Caenorhabditis elegans: one gene and its partners. The protein of the gene in region 2 interacts with the protein of the main gene of each other region in a pairwise test. Each region holds a gene or a part of one and is shown on either strand. Other genes may lie near its edges. The genes, in order: cpg-3, sas-4, F49E2.2 and chc-1.

Region 1 (3,550 bases), on a different chromosome or scaffold from region 2:
ATTAATTATAAAATAAAAATCAAAGAATTTTCATGATTTCATAATTTATTTTTACAGTGGTCATGTTCTCTGGGATTATCACGTCATTGCTATTGAAAAGGAAAAAAACGGGTCAAAAGTCTACGATTTGGATTCTACACTCGAATGGAGTTGTGATTTCTTAGAATATTGGGAAAAAACTATGAATCTCGCAGAAATGGCTCAGCGTGACACTAAATTCAGAAGGTTGCTACACTTTAACACTTTTTCTTCAGTTTGAATAATTATTTTCAGAAAATTTCGTGTAATTCCAGGAGAAAACTACATATCCTTGCTCTCATCTGATCGATCTCATATGCTTTCGAAGAATGGAGTATACCTAAAGCCACCTCCTGAATGGCCATTAATAAATTCTCATAAACCATCGAATTTGATGGAACTGATCCGAATGTCAGAACAAATCGAGAACACGACGGTTATGGACGAACCAGAACTGTTCCAATTATTTTCCAAGTGATTTTTTGATTTTTTTCATTTCAAATGTTGAAGTTAATTAGAATCATGAAATTTTTATTCATTCCGTAAACTTGTGTGCAATATATTTGGGCAAAATAAAAAAAAGCCGATAAGATGGGGTCAATTAGCAAACACAGAATCCATAGTTGCATGGCAATCCGTGGCACTTCTCGACATTGTCTTCGGCTCCATTGCACGTCTCCACGTTGCAGAACGAAGTGAGGGCTTCGGCCAGAGTGAGATTGTTCTTGGTGTAGGCAGCAAAACAATCGCAAGTAGCGGTAATGCTGTTGCAAGCACCGTTGAATCCTCCGCAAGCACTGTCCTCTTGGCATCTGAAATAATAATATTTTAAAATCTGCTGCGAAATAAATTGAAAACTTACGGCCATCCAAAGACACAGGAGTTACAGTTGCAAGTTCCGGCAAGAGCTCCAATGCATTTTCCACTTCCACATCCAGAATCTCCATAGCAGACAGCAGATGAGACGCAAGTAGCTGGTGCAGATGTTCCGGTTTCGGTTTCAGTTTCATTGAGTGAAAGACGAGCACTGTCGAGAACCATCTGAGAGTTGGCAAGCACGATGTTCGAGAGGATTCCGAGGTTTTGAGCGTTAGCAGAGAGAGCAGTCATCTGAAAGATTTAAAATATTGAATTAAAAGGGGTCGAGAAACTAACCTCAGTGATGACGAAGTTAGCTTGGTGAATGAGCTTCTGTGATTCAGCTTGAACTTGTTGAGCATACGTGTTGAGTGTCTCCAACTGTTGAAGAGTGAGTTCGTCGACAGGAACGACTGGTGATGTATCACCGGATCCTTCTTCACCAGATCCTTCGCCGGAAGTTTCCTCATCTCCTGAACTCTCGCCGGAAGTTTCACCAGATGATTCGCCAGATGCTTCTCCCGAGGCTTCACCAGATGCTTCTCCCGAGGCTTCACCAGATGCTTCACCAGAACTCTCGCCAGAAATTTCTCCAGATGAATCTCCGCTGAACTCATCTTCACTGGCGGAAACATCACGTTTGGCACGGATCGGATCGGCTGGGTGAGCGAGAGATGCTGCAATTTGTTACAATTAATTTAATTTCAAAATACAAGTGAAAAACAAACCTCCAATGAGCAGCAAAGCAATGATGAACACAAAACGCATCTTTAGTGAAGACTGATTTGTTGGAATGCGATTGTGAAGTAAAAATCGAAATCATTGAAAACAATAACAACCAAAATTCGCTCATTAAGCGGGGTAGATCAAACTGAAAATTAGTAAGAAATTTGTTAGTCATACAGGTCTAGTACGGTATTTTCTACATAGAAATAAAAAATACGTTCCGAAATAATTTTTAAACATAGTATTCGAATTCTAGAATTTCATACTGTGAAGATGAAACGGTGAAAATTAATTTAAATTTAAATATTTATTCAGTTCATGTTGAATCTATTTTTTCTCGTTTTTTCTTTATTTTTGGTCAACTAATTGTGTTAAAAAATACCATGAAGTTATGAAGAATAAAGAAAAAACGGGAAAATAAGCCATAACAATTGCGAAACAACGATCCATGGAAACTACGGTACTTCTTAAAGGCGCAGACTGTCTAGCAGGCTTCATTTGAAATTTGAAGAAACTCGTGGCGAGACCAAAAAGGGGATATTTTCATATATAATTCTACCTTGAATAAAATTTTCTTTTGAAAACGATTATCTTGGATTTGGGAGTGGAAAGGTTTAATTACAACTTCAAAGTTAATACTTCAAATTTCACGAATTTTGAAGTATTGAGTTTGAAGTGCAACGGATGCTTTCAATAAACAATCGAGACAGTAAAAGATTCTTTGTAGGAAAGAAAAATTGAAATACAGAGCTATTTAGTTTTCTTTGTCAGGAAAGGGACCTTTGTCAGAGCATCCTCATTTCCATTCTCGTTCAGACATTGAAGCTTAAGCTTTAAATAGAAAAGAGCGGCACGGATGGCATATGTGTAGAACATGCTCATTGTGAAGACTCCAGCACGTTGATCACACATCTTTCTCAACAAGTCATCACAATCGGCGAATATTTCAGTTGTTGTTTGTCAATTAGTCTAATTTACCAAATAATTTCTAAAACTTTGAACAAAAACTGGACAGACTAACCGTACCATCTTCAATCATGCCATATGGTTTCTTCTCACTTCCGATTAAAGAAACGTGATTTTAACATCGTCTATATCAATCTGGGTACGTTATCATCACACGCCCCGGGTACGTCTTCTTCTTTTATCTTTCTTATCACAACTATTATTATCAATCAGTCTCCTCCTTCCACCCAAAATCAAGATTTCTTTTTTCATTTTCAAAGTTTTTTGTGTTTCGTCAAGAAAATTCATTTTTTGTCTAATTTAAGAGATTCGGAAATGTCCCCACCACTTGTTATCAAGAATGGAACTGTCGTCAATGAAGATGGAATGTTTAAAGCTGATGTTCTTGTTAGAAATGGAATTATTGTGTAAGTTCAAACAAGAAGAATGCGTGTAAAAACTGTAGTTAAGTTAAGTAGTTAAATTAATTAGGTGATAGTGATAAAATAAATATACTGTAATTCAGTTTATCTAGGTATCTCTTTCTTGAAGATGGATTTGCGCCTCTGAGGAAAATGATTATTCCTATAACGCTCAAATAGGAAAACTTTTCAACATTTTTTAGAAACTATTCTTGAATTTTTAATCTAAAAAAGTATCAATTTCTTTCTAATATCTAAGTTTTCATCTATCATAATTTTGGTATTCAACTGAAAAGTGTTCTACGATTTTTAATTTCAATTATGATTTAATTATTTGTTTCAGAACACTGTAGACGTTTGCTCTTTGCTACAAATTTCTTGTGAAAACCCCAATTTCTTTTTGAATATTTGGCAATATACTAAACATTTGAGACATAAGTTAGTTAGTAGAGGTCTTAATTTAAAAAAAAACCCCCCAATCGAAATCCGCCAATAAGTTGATTCTACCAAATAATTTTTGAAAAAAAAAACGATTTCAGAGAAGTATCTCCAAATATAACTGCTCTACCAGATACAGAAGT
Region 2 (6,542 bases):
GGATGCCACTTATCGTAAGCTTAAGAATCTAAGATTTTTAAACAATTATATCGTTCAGACGATCTGATGGCTCGACTCTACACGCTTCTTGGTGTCAGCGGTAAGACCCATATGATTACTCTGAGAACTCAGAAATCATCGAGTGAAGAAGGCGAAGGCGAGTTTTCTGGTCGAGGTGACCCGGTTAGTTTTTTGATATTCTGAATATAAAAAGATAAGGATGATTGTAGGCTCCTCTTGAAGTCGGCGATTCGAAAACTCGTCTCAGTGATCTAAAGATTACACGTCACAAGATGCTGCTCCTGGATGTAGATGATCAGAAGAAAGATGGAAGTGGTGAGGAGAAGAAAGAGAAGAAAAGTGCGGAAAAAGAAAAGAAAATCTCACACGAAAATGTTCAAAGTTTGAGTCCGTCGAGTCGTGCAGAAGATCCGAGATCATCTTGAAATGTCTCCAGTGTTCCAATAAATCTTTGCAATCTGAATCCCGAATTTTGTGCAGAACATTTAAAGTTAAAATTGTTTATAACAGTCAATAAAATAACCATGAAGATCAATATGAAAGAAATGGGGGAGGGGGCAAGTGAAAATTGAGATAGTAAAAAATGATTGAATTATTTGATATGATTTTACAGGAGGTAGAATTAATTATAATTTTAGAGCACTCAGGAGTGAAAAATAATGTCAATGGAATAGATATACAAACCACAAGTTAAAATAAAGGGGTTGGAATTTCTCATTTTTTCCACTGGAACAAAGTTGTTTTCCGACGTTTATCGCCTATCATCTCTGCAGTTTCCAATGTACCTTCACACGTGGAAAGATTCACTTCAAGTCTCAATGTTTTCTCGCTGCATTCAGGTCGTCCAATGATCTTGAGAATATACTGATTGTTGAGACCAGTCGGATCTCCCTGATACCAACGAAGACGGAATTCTGGCTCAACGAGCTCAAAATCGTTGTAATCAGTGACGAGAACGTAGCGACATTGATTGTCGCGATATGTGTGTGTACCGGGATTGTATCTGAAAATTTGATAGGTTTCAGAGGCAAAAATATTTATAACGGGGTTTTAAACCTGTTTTACTAACTTTTTGAAGAATTGAGGTCATATTCCTAAATTTTGGGTTAGACAAAAATTATAGAAACATGTTTTGTTTGAAAATATATTATTTGCTAAAATATCGTTATACTTATTTGAGTTTTTTTAATGAATAAATTAAAATTCATCGAAAAACTAACTAAGGAAAATCGATGAAAATTCTGTTTCAAATTGAGTTTGAAATTACAGTACTCTTTGAAGGCGCCAAATTTTACAATTTTTTCGTTAAAGGACAGATTTTTAAATGTGAAAATACGTGCGCCTATAAAGACTGTTGTAGTTTGGTTTATTTATCTTTTTTCTAAACTAATAAACATGTTTTTATCAAAAAAAAAAGGGGCAAACAACAATTCGACAGTAACGCGATTTTTAAACTACAGTAATATTTAAAGGCGCACGCCTTTTCCCATTTAACTAAATTTTATCGTGCCGAGACATTTTTTGCCGCAAAATGTCACATCTCTTTTTTTATTTTTGTTTCGTTTTATTTATGTAATTTATTTATGTAACCACTTGTGATGGTTTGTATCTATTAATGTGTGTGTGTTTTTTTTTCTACCTAACGATATCTTCTATCGTAATAAATTAAATTAAATTAAATTAAACATCTGGGTAATAGTTTTGAGATTTTAATGGTTTTTCTGAATAATTAATTGGAAAATGAATAGAGACTCACTTTCTCGAAACTTCTTGATTGCTAAAATCCTTCGTAACATATCTTCCGTCCCTATTGAAGCTGAAATACGAAATTTCCGATGAACTTTAAAAAAGAAAATAATCTTACATTTCAGTTTTATACATTCCGTTTTGATAAATCAAATCAGTTCGAACTTCTCGTCGTTTAATACTTATCAATGTTATGTTATTTCCAGGACGAAGTACTTCAACTTGCCTTTGAAATGTATGAATAATTGAAATATTGTATGTGGGGAGATCAATTCTGACTGTTTTATCAACTGCGGATATGTAGATCTGTAAATTGGTCACTTTAATTGACAAAATTCCAATTAAAACTTACATTAACAGCGTTCTGCCGATTAACCCATCGAAGATCTCCATTGGAATATTCGAAAAGAAGACCGTTAGCTATTGTATCCGTCACTTTAGATGTTTCTCCAAGAGAATCTCTGTAGATCGTGCATTTTCCAAATTTTCCCGGCATTTCTTTGACTGGCATCTTCAAAAAGCATGATTTAAAATTTTTTTTTGACAATTTTCGGTAACTCGAAAACTATTGATTTTTAATTCTGGGAATTTTGAAAAATCGGAACTTTCGGCAAATGCTAATAGTAAGCTGTAAATTTTTAGACTTAAAAAACTATTTTTCAAAAATATTAATTTTTTAGTCGGGAAGAAAAAATAATTTGAAATTTTTTTTGAATTGATTTTTTCAGAGCAATATTCTAAAAACAATTTTAAAAAAACCCTGCTTTGATCTAAATATTACCATCAAAAACTCCTGTGGTACAGCTTCCAATGATTGTTCATTTGGTTCATCTGCCCAACTAACACCTCTTTCTCGATTTGATGTAGATGGTTTTCTAAATGTTGTCAACGAAGATGATGATGGATGTCTAGATGGACCATTTGATGTTATCGAAATTGGAACACTTTGATTCAAAACTGGTGGCACTGGATTCGAAGTTTTTCGATTCATTGCAACCTTCGCGAACATCTCCTTTTCTTTATCGTCGCGTTCTTTTTCAGTACGTAATTGTTTTACGCGCTTTTCTAAAGTCTGTAGAGTGCTCTTTAGCCGGTTTCCGTCTTTCTGAAGCTTCTCGATTTCCTCGTCTTTTTTCTTGAGCTTTTCGTCTCGAACACGTATATCCTGTCGATATTGTGCATTCTTGGTTTCTGATGCTCTTAATTTGTCGCGGAGAGTGGCTATCTGAAATTTGACAAGTTTTGCTGGATTTTAAATTAAAGGTTTTATAATAGAATTTCAACTTTTTAAATTCTCAATTTATTTCAATGAAAATTTTAGATTTTGCTTTGAGAAAAATTTTCAATCGAAATTTCGTGGTTTTTCTCGAATAACTATTTCTTGCTTAAATTCTTAATTACCGTTTCTGTGAATTCTTTATTCCTTTCTCCCGTTCCTTTCTTCAATATCTTCTGATCTCGTTCAAGATCTCGTTGATCCCTCTTCAATTTCTCGTAAAGTTCATCATAATCTTCCTTAATTTTCTCAAACTTCTTCTCAAATTCTTCCTCAACTCCTTTTTTGCATTTCTTAAATTCTTCTATCAGTTCTTTCTTAAAATTATTGACTTCGGAAATTTTTTCTTCGAGCTGTCGTTTTGTGGTGTGCACGGATTCTTCTGCATAATCCAAGTGAGCAATAGTGTCTCTCAGTTGTATGTTCAAGTTACGATGACGTCGAATTTCAATTTCAAGTTTCTGTCGGTCCAGTGATGATCCAGGAACATGTATTGGTTGATCATAAACGTGCTCGGGTCGATTTTCATCTTGAACATTTCCATTCTGTGGATTCTGTCGTGATGAGTTCATCATATCATTTCGTCTCAATGGGGCGGTCACAGTAGGTCTTTCATGGTGTTGTAAAAGGCTTATTCCCGTTTGAGCCTCACTTCGAACTAAAAATCTAATCAATCATGTTTTTTTTGTTATTAACCTACCAAGCTGATTAATTCTATTGCTGCCAAGCGGTCGAGCCTGTGGTGTTTCCAGAGAAATTCCTGATAATTCTTGCATTGAAGACGGCCAATTGTGATTATTTGGGCCAACGCCTAAATCGTTCATAATTGGTGTAGACCGAGTAGGAGGCTCAGAGGAGTTTGATGGTGCACAAGATGATGGCGTTGCCAGTGATGTTGTGATTGTTGAAGCTGATCTCATCTTTAATTTTAATTAATTAAATTTTGAATTAGAGAGTATTCGTAGGTTTTGATTTTTGATACGTAAATCTATTCTATGTAAAATTTCAATTATCATTCTGATTTGGCTGTTCTTACCGAATCCATTCTTCTCTCAAAAGCTTTGAATTCGGCAGCTGCATTTTTATACTTTAAAGCATCATCAGACAATTCATGATCTGAATTAACAAGAGTCGAAGGTTCATCAGGCACAAAAGAAGGCATTGCAGATACTTCATCCGTGTCATTGTCTTCTTCTTCTTCAGCGTGCTGTCCACTGTGGCCATGCTCTTCAGCAACGGAAGGTGCGGGATTTAGACGATTTTCCGGCGAAGATGACAATGATGGTTGATCCATTGGAAGAGATGCGGTGGTTGGTGGACGGGTCTCGTCTTCATTTGATATTCCACTGTCCACGGTTCGGGCAGAGTTCGGGAGAGCATTCTGGAATAATTCTACTTAATATTTATATTTAACTAGTCACCACAGTTTTATAACGTTTGTATTTAAGATATTTTACTTACCGACAGACTAAACCTAGGAACATTAATAGAAGGACTTGAAGCAGATGAAAGTTCCGACGTTGGAGGTGCACCAGCAGATGTTTTGTTGTTTCTAGGCTGAACTTCATATATTATTTCGATAAGCCTTGTATTTGCACAAACTACCATTCTAAATCTTGCTGTTCCTTGTCCTTTTCTCAAAAACGGCCGAGAAGGCTTCTGTTCACCGTCGGCACCGATATTTTCATCGGAAGCCATCTGAAGGCTGAAAAGGTTTTTAATAAATAATTGAATTATATTTCAGAAAATAAAGTATACTATCGGTAAGAAACGAAGAAACGATAAAACTATCGATTTTTAAAAACACAACAATTTCATTTCAACAAAAAAAATCTGAAAATATAAAAGACAAAACAATTAGTTCATTTCTTCTCCTTTTTCTCCTTATCCACTCTTTTCTGTATCCTCTCGAGAAGTACATCCATTTGAGCATTCAGATTTGGTTGTCCTTTTTTATTTCTTTTTGCCAATGCCTGATTCATCTTCTTTCTTGATTTATTTGTCGCTGCAATCGTCTCATTTCGCTTTTCTCGTTCGGCTCGCTCTCGTTGTTTCTCCTCTTCTTTTTCTTGCTTCAGACGAAGATATACGTCTTGTGCTTGTGAAAAGCTCATTTTCTTTTGCTTTTTCCTAAAAATGTTGATGATTTCAGATATATTAGTTTTGAAAATAGGAAAGAAAACTTACGATTTAACTTTTTTGGGTGGTTGCGATGCCACGGCAGTTGCATTGTCTGTCTTTGATCGATTTCCCATCTGAATAAACGATTGAGATTTCTAAGAAGAGATTATGTGAAATTATAAAAGCGTTTTGAAGGGATTAAGGTGGTAAACGGTATAATAACCACAGCGGGGGGTAACGAGAGAGCGTGCAAGACGAAGATGACGCAGACAATTCCCGCCGTCGTGCTAGGGAAAATGCTAGTCCACGGCCATCACAATTCTAGGCCATTTTCAAAGAAAACGGAGGGAGGTTCAAAATTTAATTGTTTTTGTTGAGAAAAAGAGAATTAATTCGAATTGTCCCTCATCATCCGCGCTCGTGACATGAATTTCGAAAATATAATTTATGCCAGTAATGAGTATCAAAATAATATTTACATGAAATGAATTGAGCAAGAGTAAATATCACAGTTCACATAATATTTTTGATTCCTATAAAATGTTTCATATTTGATAAAAACAATGATACAAGTTTTTTCACATCGATTTGAAGAAGATTGGAAATTCAAATATGTTGGAAGGATTATTGAAGTGTGAACGCAATTGTAGCATGTAAAAGGCATAAAAGTATTGAAGATCCCTGAAAATATCGATTTTTAAACAATCGTTGATTGGTAAACCCACAGATGACAGTAACCACTGATCAGTCCATTGAACTTGATTTACTTCAATGGAAAAATGAATTTCTATTACAGAACTAATACCACCAAGTAGAGAACAAAGTACTGCAGATGGCATTTCCTTTAATTTCAATATTTATTTTATTCCTCCTTCCTATAAAACTTACCATAAAATTGAATGTAAGAACACATGAACTACTTGAATAATATATTGCAATTATTAACCAAGAAAACGATATTACCATTATAATCGGAGCTGCTATCACCGGAAAGTACTGAAAGTTATGTCATTTCTTTATGGTACCAAATTGTATGATACCTGTAGTAAGTGCCGAGTACTTCCCCATCGAAATTCCTTCTCAACGACACAGTCATAATTTTTGCAGTAAAGAAGATTCCAGTATAATAAAGAGCAGGAAATAATCTAGAATTATAGGTGTAAACTTGAATTTTCTATTGATTGGTAATTCTTACGATGGAAACAGTGTAGAGGTACAGTGGTAGGCGTGTCCGAGGATATGGAGAACTTATTATTTTTGGTATCACTGTGACCATCCTGAACACATTATTATTATTGTAAGAAGAAAAAAGAAGAAATGAGTTAAATAAGGATGTCAATGGGTAGATACTTGCAGATAACTATTTGTAAAATATAAT
Region 3 (7,684 bases), on a different chromosome or scaffold from region 2:
ACTAATGCATGTTTCAAAATATCTAACAAAGAACAACATCAACATAGTTTTCAACTACACTATGTTTTGCAAGTATTCTCTAATTCAATACTAAATATTACAAAGAGCCTGTTAGACAAATGTTCAGTAAGGACTTGTTTGAATGTAAAAACGAATTCCATAAATTAAATATCTCGAACCAATGCTAAGATTTTTTTGATAAAAAATTAATAACCTTAAATTGATTTTGATTAAAAAAAACATTCATGAAACTCTACTCATGTAGGCTTTCAAATCCTATAATAGTGTCAAATTAAAATATTGATACAGGCAAATGTTACCACTTTTTTAGGGCACCGGTCTGTTGTTAGAAATTTTATCGGTTTGCCGTTTTGCTTGAAAGTTTTATATTCTTTTTGTTTTCTTCTTGACGTCACAAAAAGTAACAAGTTTTAGTTTAATTTTTCAAAATTATTTAGAAAGTTTTTGGTACCTTGTCTCCACGATTCACAGTCATCTGTTCTCCGGAAGAAGCATTGAAATCATCGTTAACAATCAGAATACTTCCATATTGTGATGGGTTGAAGAATGATGGAACCGAAATATCTGTACTATGATTGCGACTGTGTTGTTGTGCTTGGTGAGATGGAGCAGCCATTGGAAGGTAACTAGAATCCACGTGGAATCTGAATATGTCGTTCTTTTTTTCAAATTTCTTGTGAGTACTCACTTTTTAGCATTCATTTGCTCCTCTGTCACTGGATTATCGACGACTCTCCCAACGCGAATATAATCGCTGGTAACAACTTGATAAGGCGTGCTATTCTGAAGGATTATCACACTTGAAAATTGAAAATTACACGAATAGTTTTTACCTGAACAGGCGTGTAGCGGACATTTGGCTGAGGATTTGATTGATTTGCAAATCCGAAAACATTAACAGCACCTGGAATTGTGTTTCCAGCACGGCGGACACCACCTGGAGCGCTATTAACCGGCTGTTGAGGCACTTGCTGGAAACGCATAGTTTTATCAAAATGGACAAATAATAGCGAGTGAAAAGATGATTACACCAGATGCTTACCTCGGCGACAACATTATGACGAGGGGCGTATGTGCTCTCCTCCTGGCGTGTGACTGGAACTGGTTGAGCGCGAATCGGAGCATATTGGGGGTTTTCGACAACTGGTTTTGGCGGCAAGACTGGTGGAGCAATGTGGGAGTAGCTGTTGTTGGGTGGAAGTTGTTGAATCTGAAATTAATACGGCAATTAAATTTTTCTTCGAAATAAACCAGTTGCATTTACTGTTTGTAAAAACCAATGCATGGTATTTTAATTCGGGGCACGTTGTGAATACATAATAAGAATATGAAATGTTTTTACTGCAGTTCAAATCTTTGATAAAAACTTTATGTGAAAGATTAAATAAAATATAGTAATGTTATGTGAGGTAATTTTGAGTCAAATAGAGCAACTATTCATACGTCGCTATTCTACCATTAAACAAACACGTGAAGTTGTTACGAAAAAATTTTGATAATTATGTAACACGTGAAAATAGTTGTTCTTCAGTCAGCCTTTTAAAATTCGCGTAACATTTCTAAAACGTGATAGAAAGATTGCCAAGATTTCAAAACCAAAGTGAAAACTCAATAAAATCTAATTGACAAAACGATGCTAATATTTCTTTTTTCGATTAAAGACTTTTGCTTCGATGTTTACAAACATTTTTGAATTCTATTGTTAAATTTTGAAAACACTGTGTTGCTGATTGAAAGTTCATGCAGGCTTAACTATGAATAAATAAACTGATTTTAATCTAAATTAAAATTCAAAATGTTGCGTTTTTTATTGATTTTTATCCTAGATAATTTAATAGCACATGCGGACATTATACAAACATTAAAAAATAGTGTTATTGCAGATGCGAATTTTTCAAAATAGGAGAAATTTTGAATACCTCCTTGCTTCAACAGTTCAAATTTTAAGTATCCTACAACTAGTCCGATGGCTTACACATAGTAATAAACTTTGAAAATGTGAGTGTTCTTTTTTTTTAATACAAAATGAAACGTATGTATTATAAGTTTTATGTACGTGATTTAATGTAACTATGACCTATTGTTTATACACAATATTGACTTATAACAACTTTGAAACATTTCTTCACATGACATATTAGTCCTCAACTAACCTCAATTGATTGACGGCGATAATTACTAACCAGTGTGACTCCGGAAACGTCATTTGTGAGACGACGAGAAGATGGAAGATCCTCTAGCGTTGTTGCAACCGATGAAGTCGAATTGCTGCGGCTGTCCTGTACAGCTTCATCTACTTTCTGAAATTTAATATGATATACACGCATTAAATTGTGTTTTACCTTTTCAACATTCTCTTTAATTTCCTCAGCTGCAACAACGGCGGCATGCTCATGTAAATCTTGATGCCAATCTTTGTGGTCTTCTGGTATGGTCTCAATTTCAACCGGTGCAGCGATCACACTCCCAACTGCTGGCTGAACAATCACTTCTTGGGCTTGGAATAATTTCCCAATTTCGACGTATCTGATAATATTTTATGAGAGTTTTTTTTTCCAGAAATTGAATTAATGTTGCTATTTTCACAATTCTAATTACATTTAACTCACCCGTGAATCCAGGATTGCAGCTTGTCATTGAAAAATTTGTATCTCATTTCCTGTTGTTTTGCCCAGCTGGCTGCTTCTTTTTTATGGAACGCGGTAATATCTTGTTCAGTTTCTCCATTTTTGCGTTTCAGAAGTTTTTTTTCTTTTGCTTTGTACTCAGCAAATTCTGTCTTCAGCTTGTCTTTTTCCTTGTTGCTATAGTCATGAACTTTGTGTGCCAGCGCGTCAAATTCCGTAATCTATGTTTAATTATATATTGAATGCGAAACTTTTCTTTAGATTGATGCTTACGACTTTTTGATGAGCATTTACTCCCTGTACAAACTCTTTAAAAACTTTTGAAAGCTCTCGAGCTTCATTTTTCGATTTGTGTCCAGCAGTATCAGCTGATTTGATAAGTTTGTGAGTGGCATCACAATAGTTTGACAATGCTTCTTGGAACACTGAAAATTGCAAATTTTTATATACTCTTGTCATCTTGAAAACTTGATGTGATTATTGAAAAGCTATTTTTCTTGACCTACATTGATATGGATTGCAAACGAAAATGTTTCAATTTCCACTCTCACAAAAAATATAGTTTTTGTCATTGAATTTTTAGGCACAAACTATGAAAATATAAAACTCGAGTTCTATGAATGCGTCTTTCAACTACACATGTTTTCATGTGTTGCGATACAAACTGAATTGAGTTATAAACAAATTATTAACACAGAAATGGGATGAGCTGAGTATATTTTATTCACATTATTGAGCCATTGTTACAAACCGTCCCGACCATGATAACTATAATACTTTCAACGTATATTTGCCAACTTTTTGCAGTAACGTTTTCTAATTTTTTTTACTTCTCATCTCTTACAATATTAAGAAACCATGAGATCATGAGAGTGCCTACCGTTTTGGCGCGGGAATATCTCGTAGCGAAGGAACCTATATCTTTCTTCGCCGATTGTTTTCCCTGTTGCCGCTATTTTCGAGCCACAATTTAGGCATTCTCAGGTTTTTTAAAATACAACAAAAGCATAGAAAGAATACTGTGTAAGAGAACTTATTGTTTTCTGATCAAAAATACTTACTGTAATATGTTTTCAGTAGATGCATTCCGGCTTGCCCAAGATTTTTTGCCGCTGAAATTTTGTTGTGTATGTTAACCTAAACAAGAGGTACCTGGCAAAAACTGTGCGGCTAGCTGATCGTGGACCATCTGTGGAATGTTGGCAGCCATTGAAGGCGAAACCTCCGGTGGTACCGCTTGTTCGTCGACCGACATCGGGATGATTGGTGGATACCGATGAGAGACTGAAAACCAACTTTTTGCAAACTGTTTGACATTCAATTTTCATAAGTAATGCACTACTTTTGCGGGAAAAGTTTTATAATATTTTATGGGCAGGGTTGGTCTGTTGTAGATAACGCTTTTGCCATCCGAGAAACTTTCTTTATTGATATTGTTAATTGCTAAAGGCATGCGACACTAAATATTATAAAAAATATACAACTAAACAAGTTATAGAACTTAAAAAAACCCTAAGACGGTGAACCTAAATCAATAAAACACAAATATCTATATTTTTTGAAGAAATAGTGTTATAAAGTCATTTTGTTTGCCAACATTCCTGAATTCCACTTTCCATCATAACGATTATGGTTATCACCGCAACATGTGTCATAAGAAAGGAATGAAACAAAAAATATTTCATTTTTGGAGTAAAATAATGGCCATTATGCCGGCAAAACGCCTAAAACAGTGTACACTCTATAAGAAAATGAGGCGAGCGTACAACCAAGTTCATGAAACGACGCAGTGCGGCAGGCACCTATTGAAAAAGCGTTGTGCAAGTGATAAGAGCCCCGACTTTGGTATGCTGCGTGCGTTTGATTATGTACATTACCCGGGCATCGGCGCCAAGCGGCGAGAAACCTGGCAGATTGGGAGAGTGTGAAACAAAACCAAAAATCGCCGCCTACTTTAAGTTTTTGTGCCATTCTGAAGCGACTATTCTGATTGTGTGAAGAAATACTGTTGACATTTTGACACTATCAATTTTAAGAGCGTGACAACAGAGAATGGTGACATCTGACAAAAAAAAATGACAAGCCGTATGCAACTTTTTGAACAACATTTGAATAATTTGAAATTAAATAATATAAAAATATAAAAAACGCATCGTTTAAGCTTGTAAAGAAACCTGATAGTGAGTGTTATTAGTAAAACATTGAACTCTAGTTTGTTTTAATTGTTTCAATTCTGAACACTGACCCGTGAAGTAAAATAAAATTTGTTTAGAATTAAATAAAGCTATGAATAAAGTACAGGACAACTTTAATTATTGTGCTACAAAAGTTGATCGGCATCTTTACAAGTAACTCGTTTTGTAATTTATTCAAAATTTAGAGAAGTAGTCAAAACTCAAAACTTATTTTAAACCATAAAAAATTATTGATTTAATATACCGCAATTTAAATTACATTGTCATACCAATGTTGTTAATAAGTGAGTAAATAATGATTTTTTGAACATGTATGTTCAAAATTTGCGTTATACATGTGAAACATCAAAGACAGTAGAAATATGTTGAGCATCTTGCTCAATCAAAATAAGTGTATCATTGTTAGGAAAATGTAACTAAACAAAAAATACCACTAGCACAGTTAAGTTAAGTTGCTTATGAAATTAATTCACAAGTAAAAGCTACAATACATACACATTATCACTTAAAAAATCGTGTTTATTGATTTGCCTAGTTTTGTCTTACAGGGACACCTACATTCGGGCATCCCCACATGATTTCCAACATTTCCAACTCCAATTCCAACAATATATTAAATTTCTAGGTAGTGTTCAGAAGACGAGAACTTATATAATGTTACGAACACCTCAAAATGAAAGTTATATTTTCACATGCTTCTCAGAGATATTTGAAAATATAAATTGAGCTGCAAATTATAAAGCTTTAAAATGTAACTTTTTGAAACTAATACTTACATTTTATTCTATGAAAATATTAATGTTGCATTTAAGTTCAGTATTTCCCTCGATACAAACAAAAGTTGACCAACCTTTTAACATGTGGCGAAGTTTTTTGGCACAAAGAGACGCGCGACACAACTGACAAGCATGACTAATGTCTAAGTTTTCTATTCCGTTCGTCTTCTCCCTCCAAAAAAACACGTCGTAACTATCCGGCTAACAAAACGTATGTATCCCGAGGTCGTTTGCCAATCACTCGGACGTATAACCATACTTACCAATCTTGATACTCTTGAAACGATGATTGAGAACATATTTGTGACCGTTAATTTCAAGAGTTTGAGCTGGTAAAGGGGATGGCTGTGGTGGAATGCGAGATTGGTAGTAAAACTCGTCAGTTGCAGATTCCATTGGAGTTTATCAATATTTCGATGAAAACCAGGACAAACAGAACAAAAGAATGGAATGGGATGGGAATGAGGGAGGCAGATTGGAACATTCCGTATTTATTTTTTGCAATTTTATTATTGAATGGATTTTGATAACATGATTTTTTTGTGTTTGTATGAGTCACTTAAATTGATTGAATATTTTTACCCCAAAAATCCTCACCTCTCCATCTCCATAGTTTCATCCCAATCAGCGAAGATCGTCGAGCGCCCAGATTGAAGATGCCAGCTGTAACAATTTTTTTTACGTTGTATCAAGTGCCCTTTTCACATCGCTCTCTCTGTCTCAAATAGTCTATGCTTTATTATACAATGTACAAATTACAGGGGTCACCAAAAGAGTTAAAAAGACACGTCAGAAAGAAAGACAGAGAGAAATAGAGATGTTTGGAAGATGGGACACTTGGAGGACGTGACAACTTTAAAAAAAGGGGTTTATGAGTACACTATATTTTTGGGACACGGTATTTAACTTACTCATAATGGCAACACTCCTTCTGATTTAGAAACTATGAGGAAATGATAGTCAAGAGCACACAAATGTTCTGAAATATATTCGCTTGTTTATCTTTTGACAAACAATGTTGTTGTCTCTTCCAGAAATATTGTGTTTCTAGCGTCAGAATCATATTGATTAAAAGATAATGATAAAACCTCGATTTATTTTCACGAACCATTTGAAAATCAGACATTGATAACTTGCATCAGAAATTAATAACTTGCATCAGAAATTAATTAAGGTGGAGTAGCGACAGTAAGAAAATTGTTAAAAATTATCCATAAAATGCCAAAATGATCAAATAGAATAGTAACACTTTTCAACAGCTGGAATAAAAATTTTTTATTGACATTCAAAAGTTACTGAGTTTTTCAAATCGTTAGACCGAATCATGATATTTCATTTTCATTAAAAATACATTTCCTGATATATAAAGTCCAAAATTCCTGAGCCTCTATCCCTCTTTTTCTTTTTGTTCTCTGCAACACGTTCGTTTTCTCCTTCGTCGACACAAAAATCACTTTTCGGAATTGAATTGCAAATCACCAATGCAGAGTAGAGTGCCCATCAACCTGTATGATGACAAAACATTCCCGTTGTTCCGTTTTGCATTTTCTATGGTTTCAACGCCCACGATTTATGTTTGAGCGTGAGAGCCACAATGTGCTGCTTGGAGTTTACTTTACACCTTTTCTCTAGGTTTTGTTTTTTTTCTCAATTCCTAATCAATAAATTAATCGCACCGCATTTTTAAAAGTGTTTTGATATAAATATTACAGATGAGTTGTCGAGCAGGAAAAAAGTTATTTCAATGGTCACGGGTCAAGTCGTCAACAGAAGAAATTGTAAAACAACTAACTGTTCCATTACGAGAACATGCCGAACCAATACTCACGTTGACGCCCGAACAAAAAAGAGAAGCAGTCAGACTAAAAATTCAAGAGGTATTCTTAAACATATTGTGCAAATGAGCTTCAGAAATCAGAGAAAGAGATAAGAAAATATAAGAAAATTCTGAAAGTTCACTTGTCGTTCATCGTTCAATTTCAGATTGAACACACAAAAGGCCAGCCACCATTTTTTGACATGTTTATGAGAGAGCACACTTATTTGAGGATATCGCTAACGGAAA
Region 4 (7,940 bases), 1.9 Mb from region 2:
ATTTGGTAGATCATGGGGATTTTACTGTAAAAAAGTCAAACTTTTAAATATATTTCATATCAATTTTCAGAATCCTAACCACTTGTTCCATGTATGCTGTGAGGAACGACAGTTGCCTCCCGCATGTGTTCAGAAATGCCATTTTAATGTTTATAACAAAGGAGTGGTAGGTTTAAATAGGTCAAGTTTATATTGTGAAATTGAATTTCAAAAATTGTATAGCTGGAATCAATGTTCTTTGGTTCAAGTGAATGCCCGATTGAATTCCTGCCAGAAATGCAATTTTGTGCGGCTCAAGGAAAAGATCATAGCCAGGTAAAAGGTCGTTGAAATCTGCTCAATAACTTCTTACTAGTTTCAGTGTTGCTCACAAAGTCAGGTGGATGCAACGACGGCTGGAAGTAAATGTCTAACCTTCTGCGATCAAACACCCGATCTCTACACTCCAATTGATTACAGCTATGCGCCTTGCCTAGACAGGTTTCCATATCTTTTTATCTTCCAATTCTCGAGGCAAAAGTCATGTTGAATTAAATTGGTTGCAGGTTCGAGGACATGAAACGATGCTTCTATGATAATGTGAAGTCGGATGCAATCACACATTTCGAGGCGAAAAAGAGTTTGCAGGATAAGAGTACATCTTATTAATTGTTTTTGATTTTATATTTACTTAACTTGAGATTTCGAAATAAAATGTGCGATTTCGCAATACCCATCACGACATACTTTGTATTTCATTTTCCATTAAAGCGGAACTATTACACATTTGCGAATTTCTGTGGCAATTGCATAAAAAAACCGGTACCGGGTCTCGACACGAAAGATTCTCTTAAATGCAAAAAGTGTGATCTTCGGTCCGTGGAGTACTGTAACTTCCAGCAGGGCTAATACAAGAGAATTTGAACAGAAAACAATACATAACATTTTTATTCAAAAATGCCAAAAAATTATAATACAATTCAATTTTGAAAACAGTTTTTCGTTGTATTTTGGACCAAAAAAATCGGTTTTTTTTTGCGCAACGTTGTTGGATTCTCAACGTGTTTTATCTCAGTTTTTCCTTGAATTTCGGTAAAACAGAACAAAAAATGAAATGTTCAAAAAAAGTGTTCCAAACTACAGTACTCCTTAAAGGCGCGCACACTTTTAAATCAAAGAAAATTGGTCGTGTCGAGACCCCGTACTGTATTTTTTGTGTAAAACTCGAAAAATTTCCGTGTATGAGTGATCTACTGATTGAAATTGAGAAAACAAAGTTTATCCGCAGATCAAATTTGTTTTTTTTTTCTTTTCAATATTTCACGGCAATCATTTCTTAATCCAAACACGTAATTCACTGTCGTAATTGCTGATGACTCATTCATTTCATACGAACGCTTTTCTTTTGTCAATCCTTCGGCCGTACAAACATAAATTTTTCCTTGTGAAATTAAAAACTCCGCCCAAAGCGAAGAAAATTCCCAGAAGAAATTCGGCGGAAAAGCGCGCTCTACCGAGAAGCGGGGCGCGTCGCGTCGCGTGCCCTGTGATGACAGGGCGACTTGTTCAAGCTTGGCAAACAGGAATCATTTCTCTCGATCAACTGGCTTCTGCATGTTTGACAAAGCTCTCTCTTGATAAGACATTTCCGTTCAATTGTTTTATTTTTACGTTTTCCCTCTTTTTAGGTGCGCTATGAGTCCTCAAAAATTTTTCTTTACTCAGCAAAGAGTTCTAACTTTTGGAATTACAATTTTTCCTTCATTTCAAATCATTCACAGTAATAACAGCGGCCAAAGCTAGCTTTAAAGCTGTATATTTTTCCATTTATTCCTTCAATCTACCGATATTCACTTCTATTTCCCGGAAATGTCTCACTTTTGTGATAAATTTTACGTGACTCATCTTTTTATTTTTATCGTGTTCTCTTTTCTTTTTTTTTCAAACATCTCCATTTGCAGGTATATAATTTATTGTAAGAAGTTTTTCCATTCTACACACAGTTTTCAAAGATGGCGCTCCCAATCAAATTTCACGAGCACCTGCAGCTTCCGAATGCTGGAATTCGGGTGCCCAACATTACATTCTCCAATGTCACAATGGAATCTGATAAGAACATTGTTGTTCGTGAGATGGTAGGTCAAATAATCGCAATTAACTGTTCTAAACGGATAATTTCCAGATTGGTGATCAACAACAGGTTGTGATTATTGATTTGGCCGACACAGCGAATCCAACTCGTCGTCCAATTTCTGCTGACTCAGTAATCATGCACCCAACTGCCAAAATTCTTGCTTTGAAATGTTAGTTTTCAGTACCATTTGACTCTGAAGCTTATTTATACCTTTTTTCAGCTGGCAAGACACTTCAAATTTTCAATATTGAGTTGAAAGCAAAAGTGAAAGCTCATCAGAATGTAGAAGATGTAGTTTATTGGAAGTGGATCAGTGAGAAAACGATTGCACTCGTTTCCGACACAGCCGTCTATCATTGGTCGATCGAGGGTGATGCAGCTCCAGTCAAGATGTTCGATAGACATCAGTCGTTGGCCGGAACTCAAATCATAAATTATCGCGCTGATGCCGAAAACAAGTGGCTCGTTCTTATTGGAATTTCCGCAAAAGACTCCCGTGTCGTTGGAAGTATGCAATTGTACAGTACCGAGAGAAAAGTATCGCAGCCAATCGAAGGCCATGCCGCTTGCTTCGTTCGATTCAAGGTAGGACTAATTCGATGATGGATTTGTCATATTAATAATGTTTTAGGTCGATGGAAACCAAAACCCATCTAACTTATTCTGTTTTTCCGTCAAAACCGATAATGGAGGAAAATTGCACGTTATTGAAGTAGGAACCCCAGCTGCTGGAAACACTCCTTTCCAAAAGAAGAATGTTGATGTTCCATATACCGCTGACACAGCTGGCGATTTTCCAGTGTCTATGCAGGTATGTTGCTTATAGTCGTATAAACAAAATTTGATATCTTTCTGATTGATTGTTTATAATTTCAAAAGCTGAATGGTGTTGTTTATAAAATAAATTGTTGGTTTTCAGGTATCTGCGAAGCAAGGAATTATTTACCTGGTAACAAAGCAAGGATATGTTCATCTTTATGATGTCGAGTCTGGAACACGGATTTATTCGAATCGAATTTCGACTGATACCGTATTTGTGACCTGTGAATACACAGCTACAGGAGGAATAATGGGAATTAACAGAAAGGGACAAGTTCTTTCCGTCTCTATCGATGAAGCTAACTTGGTTCCGTTCGTTACGAACCAGCTGCAAAATCCAGATTTGGCTTTGAAGTTGGCCGTGCGTTGTGATCTGCCTGGAGCTGAAGAGTTGTTCGTTCGCAAATTCAACTTGTTGTTCAGCAACGGACAGTTTGGAGAATCAGCCAAGGTTGCTGCATCGGCTCCACAAGGAATTTTGAGAACACCAGCCACCATTCAAAAGTTCCAGCAGTGCCCGTCTACTGGTCCAGGACCATCTCCACTTCTTCAATATTTCGGAATTCTTCTCGATCAAGGAAAGTTGAATAAATACGAAACACTCGAGCTGTGTCGTCCGGTCTTGGCACAAGGAAGAAAGGAGTTGATAACGAAGTGGCTCAATGATCAGAAGTTGGAGTGTTGTGAAGAATTGGGAGATCTCATTAAGCCGCACGATGTGAATACTGCTCTTTCAGTCTATTTGCGTGGAAATGTCCCGCACAAGGTTGTTCAATCTTTTGCTGAAACTGGACAATTCGACAAGATCGTAATGTATGCCAAGCGTGTCGGATTCCAACCAGACTATTTGTTCCAACTTCGTCAAATTCTCCGTAATTCGAATCCTGATCATGGAGCAAAATTCGCTCAACTTCTTGTCTCTGAGAGCGAAAACGGAGAACCACTTGCTGATCTTTCACAGGTAACGAATGAGAATAAGGATTTGGCTAATTTAAACCTTTTCAGATCATTGACTGTTTCATGGAGGTTCAAGCTGTTCAACCATGCACTTCATTCCTTCTCGAAGTTTTGAAGGGTGATAAGCCGGAGGAAGGACATCTGCAAACGAGACTTCTTGAAATGAATCTGCTCGCTGCCCCAGCTGTTGCCGATGCTATTCTAGCCAACAAGATGTTCTCTCACTACGATCGTGCCGCTATCGGACAACTCTGCGAAAAGGCTGGACTTCTTCAAAGAGCTCTCGAACACTTCACTGACCTCTACGACATTAAGCGAACTGTTGTTCACACCCATCTTCTCAAGCCTGATGTGAGTTTCTAATTAGATTTCTAAAATAAATGCTAATTTATTTTCAGTGGCTCGTTGGATATTTCGGAAGCCTTTCTGTTGAAGATTCGGTCGAATGCTTGAAAGCCATGCTCACTCAGAATATCCGACAGAACCTCCAAGTCGTTGTGCAGATTGCATCCAAGTATCATGAACAGCTCGGAGCTGACAAGCTGATTGAGATGTTCGAAAATCACAAGTCATACGAAGGTCTTTTCTACTTCCTTGGTTCGATTGTCAACTTCAGCCAGGACCCAGAAGTTCACTTCAAGTACATTCAAGCTGCCACGCGCACAGGGCAAATTAAAGAGGTTGAGCGTATCTGTAGAGAGTCGCAATGTTATGATGCCGAACGTGTCAAGAATTTCCTTAAGGAAGCCAAGCTCAACGATCAACTTCCTTTGATCATTGTCTGCGATCGTCATAACATGGTTCATGATCTTGTTCTTTACCTGTACAGAAACCAGCTCCAGAAGTACATTGAAGTCTTTGTTCAAAAGGTTAATGCCGCCCGTCTTCCGATCGTTGTTGGTGCTCTTCTAGATGTTGATTGTAGTGAAGATGCTATCAAACAATTGATCATTAACACTCGTGGAAAGTTTGACATTGATGAGCTTGTCGAGGAAGTTGAGAAACGCAATCGTTTGAAGCTTTTGAATCACTGGCTTGAATCGAAAATCCAGGAGGGAGCGACTGATGCTGCTACCCACAATGCGATGGCCAAGATTTACATAGATTCTAACAACAATCCCGAACGATTCTTGAAGGAAAATCCCTACTACGATAGCAAAGTTGTTGGAAAGTACTGCGAAAAGCGTGATCCTCACTACGCCTTCTTGTCATACGAACGCGGACAGTGCGACGCTGAATTGATCAACGTGTGCAACGAGAATTCACTATTCAAGAATCTTGCAAGATATTTGGTGAAGAGAAGAGACTTCACTCTGTGGGAGCAAGTTCTCAACGAAGAGAATGTTCATCGTAGACAGCTGATAGATCAAGTGGTTCAAACTGCTCTTTCCGAAACTCAAGATCCCGAAGACATCTCTGTGACTGTTAAGGCATTCATGGCTGCCGATTTGCCGAACGAACTTATTGAACTTTTGGAAAAGATTGTTCTCGATAACTCTGCATTCTCGGAGCACCGTAATCTTCAAAATCTGCTCATTTTGACTGCAATGAGAGTAAGTTAATTATTTTAGAAAACATATTCGATCAATCCACTTTCAGGCCGATAGAACTCGTGTGATGGAGTACATTCAAAAGCTTGACAACTATGATGCTCCAGATATTGCTAACATTGCTATAACTTCTGAACTCTACGAAGAAGCGTTTGCCATTTTCAAGAAATTCGATGTGAACTCAAGTGCCATCAATGTTCTTATCGAGAACGTGAACAATTTGGATCGTGCTTACGAATTTGCTGAAAAGTGCAACCAGTCAGATGTCTGGGCATCTTTAGCCAAGGCACAGCTCCAACAAAATTTGGTGAAGGAGGCTGTCGATTCGTTTATCAAGGCCGATGATCCAGGAGCGTACATGGAGGTTGTGAACAAATGTTCTCAAACGGAGCACTGGGAAGATCTTGTTCGTTACCTTCAAATGGCTCGCAAGAAGAGTCGTGAGTCATACATCGAAACGGAACTCGTTTTTGCTCTGGCCAAGACTGGTCGTCTCACTGAACTTGAAGAGTTTATCGCTGGACCAAATCACGCTCAAATCGGACAAATTGGAGATCGTTGCTTTGACAATGGAATGTTCGATTCCGCTAAGATCCTTTTCAACAATGTTTCCAACTTCGCCAAACTTTCCGTTACTCTTGTTCGTCTTGGAGAATATCAAGGAGCTGTCGATGCTGCACGCAAAGCCAACAGCACGAAGACATGGAAACAAGTGTGCTTCTCTTGTGTCGAGAATGGAGAGTTCCGGCTTGCCCAGATGTGTGGACTTCACATCGTTGTCCACGCTGATGAGCTTGAGGAATTGATCAACTTCTACCAAGATCGTGGACATTTCGAAGAGCTCATTGCTCTTCTCGAAGCTGCATTGGGTCTTGAACGGGCTCACATGGGAATGTTCACCGAACTCGCGATTTTGTACTCGAAGTATAAGCCAGAGAAGATGCGTGAGCATTTGGAATTGTTCTGGAGCCGTGTTAATATTCCAAAAGTTCTTCGTGCTGCCGAGCAGGCTCATCTTTGGTCCGAGTTGGTGTTCTTGTACGATAAATACGAAGAATATGATAACGCCGCACTGACAATGATGCAGCATCCAACTGAATCTTGGAGAGAGCAACATTTCAAGGAAGTCATCGCTAAAGTCGCTAATGTTGAGCTATACTACAAAGCAATGCAGTTCTACCTGGATTATAAGCCACTTCTCCTGAATGACCTTCTTACTGTGCTATCGCCTCGGTTGGATCATTCGCGCACAGTTTTGTTCTTCAATAAGCGTAAGTTTAAATTTCGTTTAGTTTTTAAACTTTTAATAACAATAATTTTCAGTGAAGCAAATCCCACTGGTCAAGCCTTACTTGAGACAAGTTCAAAACTTGAACAACAAGGCTATCAACGAGGCTTTGAATCAGTTGCTCATTGATGAGGAGGATCACGCCGGGCTTCGTTCTTCTATTGAGGCTCAAGACAACTTTGACAATATCACTTTGGCCCAACAACTTGAGAAGCACCCACTTGTGGAATTCAGAAGAATTTCCGCATACTTGTTCAAGGGAAACAACAGATGGAAGCAATCGATCGAGCTTTGCAAAAAAGACAAGCTGTACAAGGATGCCATGGAATACGCTGCAGAATCGAGAAACGGAGAACTCGCCGAAGAGCTCTTGTCATTCTTCCTGGATGAGAAACTTTATGATTGTTTTGCCGCCTCCCTTTACCATTGTTATGATCTCCTTCACCCCGATGTCATCATGGAGCTCGCTTGGAAGCATAAGATTATGGATTACGCCATGCCTTACATGATCCAAGTTATGAGAGATTATCAGACGAGACTTGAGAAGTTGGAGCGTTCTGAGCATGAGAGGAAAGAGGAGAAGGCTGAGCAGCAACAAAACAATGGAATGACCAGTGAGTTTTAACAAATATTTAGAATTTAAATTTATTTGATATTTTCAGTGGAACCACAACTTATGCTTACCTATGGTGCCCCTGCCCCACAAATGACTTATCCAGGAACAACTGGTGGCTATGGCGGACAGCCTGCTTACGGTCAACCTGGACAACCAGGATATAATGCCCCTGGATTTATGTAATTCGATAGTTTTATCCCCATTTTCTTACCCCCACCCCCTCACTTTCTCCCCGCATCAATAATTATATTGTAATTTATTGCTTGATGTCTATACACTTTTTTTGTTTAAATTATGATATTCTATTTCTATTTATTCCGTCCCCTATGAAATTGTGATGGTTGTATTCTAATCCGTGAACTTATCCTTAAGGTTGTTGGTCCGATGTGTCGTCTCTCTCAGTTCTGCCCGTTTTCAAAAAAAAGTTGATCACAACTCTTTTAAACCACCAGAACCATCATGAATAAATTAATTCGTTGTTACCAATCGCGTTCGAGTTTCGGATGAAATACTGGTTCAGTCCATCATCATAACATTTTAGTTTTACGATTTTAACTTTTTGTATTATTCACTAGCTGAATTTTTTAAATTGAGATC

What was found.
Region 1: the proteins of sas-4 (region 2) and cpg-3 interact in a two-hybrid assay, tested with the Caenorhabditis elegans proteins (one large-scale study listed by BioGRID).
Region 3: the proteins of sas-4 (region 2) and F49E2.2 interact in a two-hybrid assay, tested with the Caenorhabditis elegans proteins (one large-scale study listed by BioGRID).
Region 4: the proteins of sas-4 (region 2) and chc-1 interact in a two-hybrid assay, tested with the Caenorhabditis elegans proteins (one large-scale study listed by BioGRID).

What each region holds. Positions count from the first base shown.
Region 1 is NC_003279.8:7,243,087-7,246,636, reverse strand, and holds cpg-3 (Chondroitin proteoglycan 3), read right to left. Parts: upstream 1,672-3,550; 5' UTR 1,645-1,671; coding exon 1,605-1,644; intron 1,554-1,604; coding exon 1,174-1,553; intron 1,129-1,173; coding exon 881-1,128; intron 831-880; coding exon 620-830; 3' UTR 535-619; downstream 1-534. Other genes in the region: R06C7.6 (Protein N-terminal glutamine amidohydrolase), read left to right, coding at 58-225, 274-496; dhp-1 (Dihydropyrimidinase 1), read left to right, coding at 2,884-2,975, 3,509-3,550.
Region 2 is NC_003281.10:8,313,841-8,320,382, forward strand, and holds sas-4 (Spindle assembly abnormal protein 4), read right to left. Parts: upstream 4,749-6,542; 5' UTR 4,742-4,748; coding exon 4,649-4,741; intron 4,601-4,648; coding exon 4,505-4,600; intron 4,425-4,504; coding exon 4,080-4,424; intron 3,964-4,079; coding exon 3,744-3,963; intron 3,702-3,743; coding exon 3,169-3,701; intron 2,993-3,168; coding exon 2,549-2,992; intron 2,279-2,548; coding exon 2,120-2,278; intron 2,074-2,119; coding exon 1,886-2,073; intron 1,838-1,885; coding exon 1,778-1,837; intron 1,025-1,777; coding exon 736-1,024; 3' UTR 509-735; downstream 1-508. Other genes in the region: F10E9.2 (uncharacterized protein), read left to right, coding at 1-14, 59-183, 231-446; F10E9.11 (rRNA-processing protein FYV7), read right to left, coding at 4,906-5,173, 5,231-5,298; F10E9.10 (uncharacterized protein), read right to left, coding at 5,789-5,845, 5,890-6,006, 6,053-6,160, 6,205-6,309, 6,360-6,440. UniProt on the Caenorhabditis elegans protein: Required for centrosome duplication. Plays a central role in determining centrosome size.
Region 3 is NC_003284.9:9,565,627-9,573,310, reverse strand, and holds the start of F49E2.2 (SH3 domain-containing protein), read right to left. Parts: upstream 6,016-7,684; coding exon 5,883-6,015; intron 4,529-5,882; exon of another isoform or gene 4,404-4,528; intron 4,276-4,403; exon of another isoform or gene 4,255-4,275; intron 3,933-4,254; coding exon 3,801-3,932; intron 3,761-3,800; coding exon 3,710-3,760; intron 3,074-3,709; coding exon 2,922-3,073; intron 2,870-2,921; coding exon 2,631-2,869; intron 2,548-2,630; coding exon 2,364-2,547; intron 2,322-2,363; coding exon 2,175-2,321; intron 1,232-2,174; coding exon 1,064-1,231; intron 993-1,063; coding exon 855-992; intron 805-854; coding exon 710-804; intron 666-709; coding exon 473-665; intron 1-472. Other genes in the region: moc-5 (GTP 3',8-cyclase), read left to right, coding at 7,332-7,496, 7,603-7,684.
Region 4 is NC_003281.10:10,201,881-10,209,820, forward strand, and holds chc-1 (putative clathrin heavy chain 1), read left to right. Parts: upstream 1-1,940; 5' UTR 1,941-1,991; coding exon 1,992-2,114; intron 2,115-2,161; coding exon 2,162-2,282; intron 2,283-2,333; coding exon 2,334-2,698; intron 2,699-2,744; coding exon 2,745-2,924; intron 2,925-3,032; coding exon 3,033-3,893; intron 3,894-3,937; coding exon 3,938-4,240; intron 4,241-4,287; coding exon 4,288-5,442; intron 5,443-5,488; coding exon 5,489-6,710; intron 6,711-6,762; coding exon 6,763-7,341; intron 7,342-7,389; coding exon 7,390-7,526; 3' UTR 7,527-7,824; downstream 7,825-7,940. Other genes in the region: dbd-12 (DB domain-containing protein), read left to right, coding at 71-166, 223-315, 362-480, 546-648. UniProt on the Caenorhabditis elegans protein: Clathrin is the major protein of the polyhedral coat of coated pits and vesicles. May play a role in yolk protein clatherin-mediated endocytosis by oocytes during oogenesis.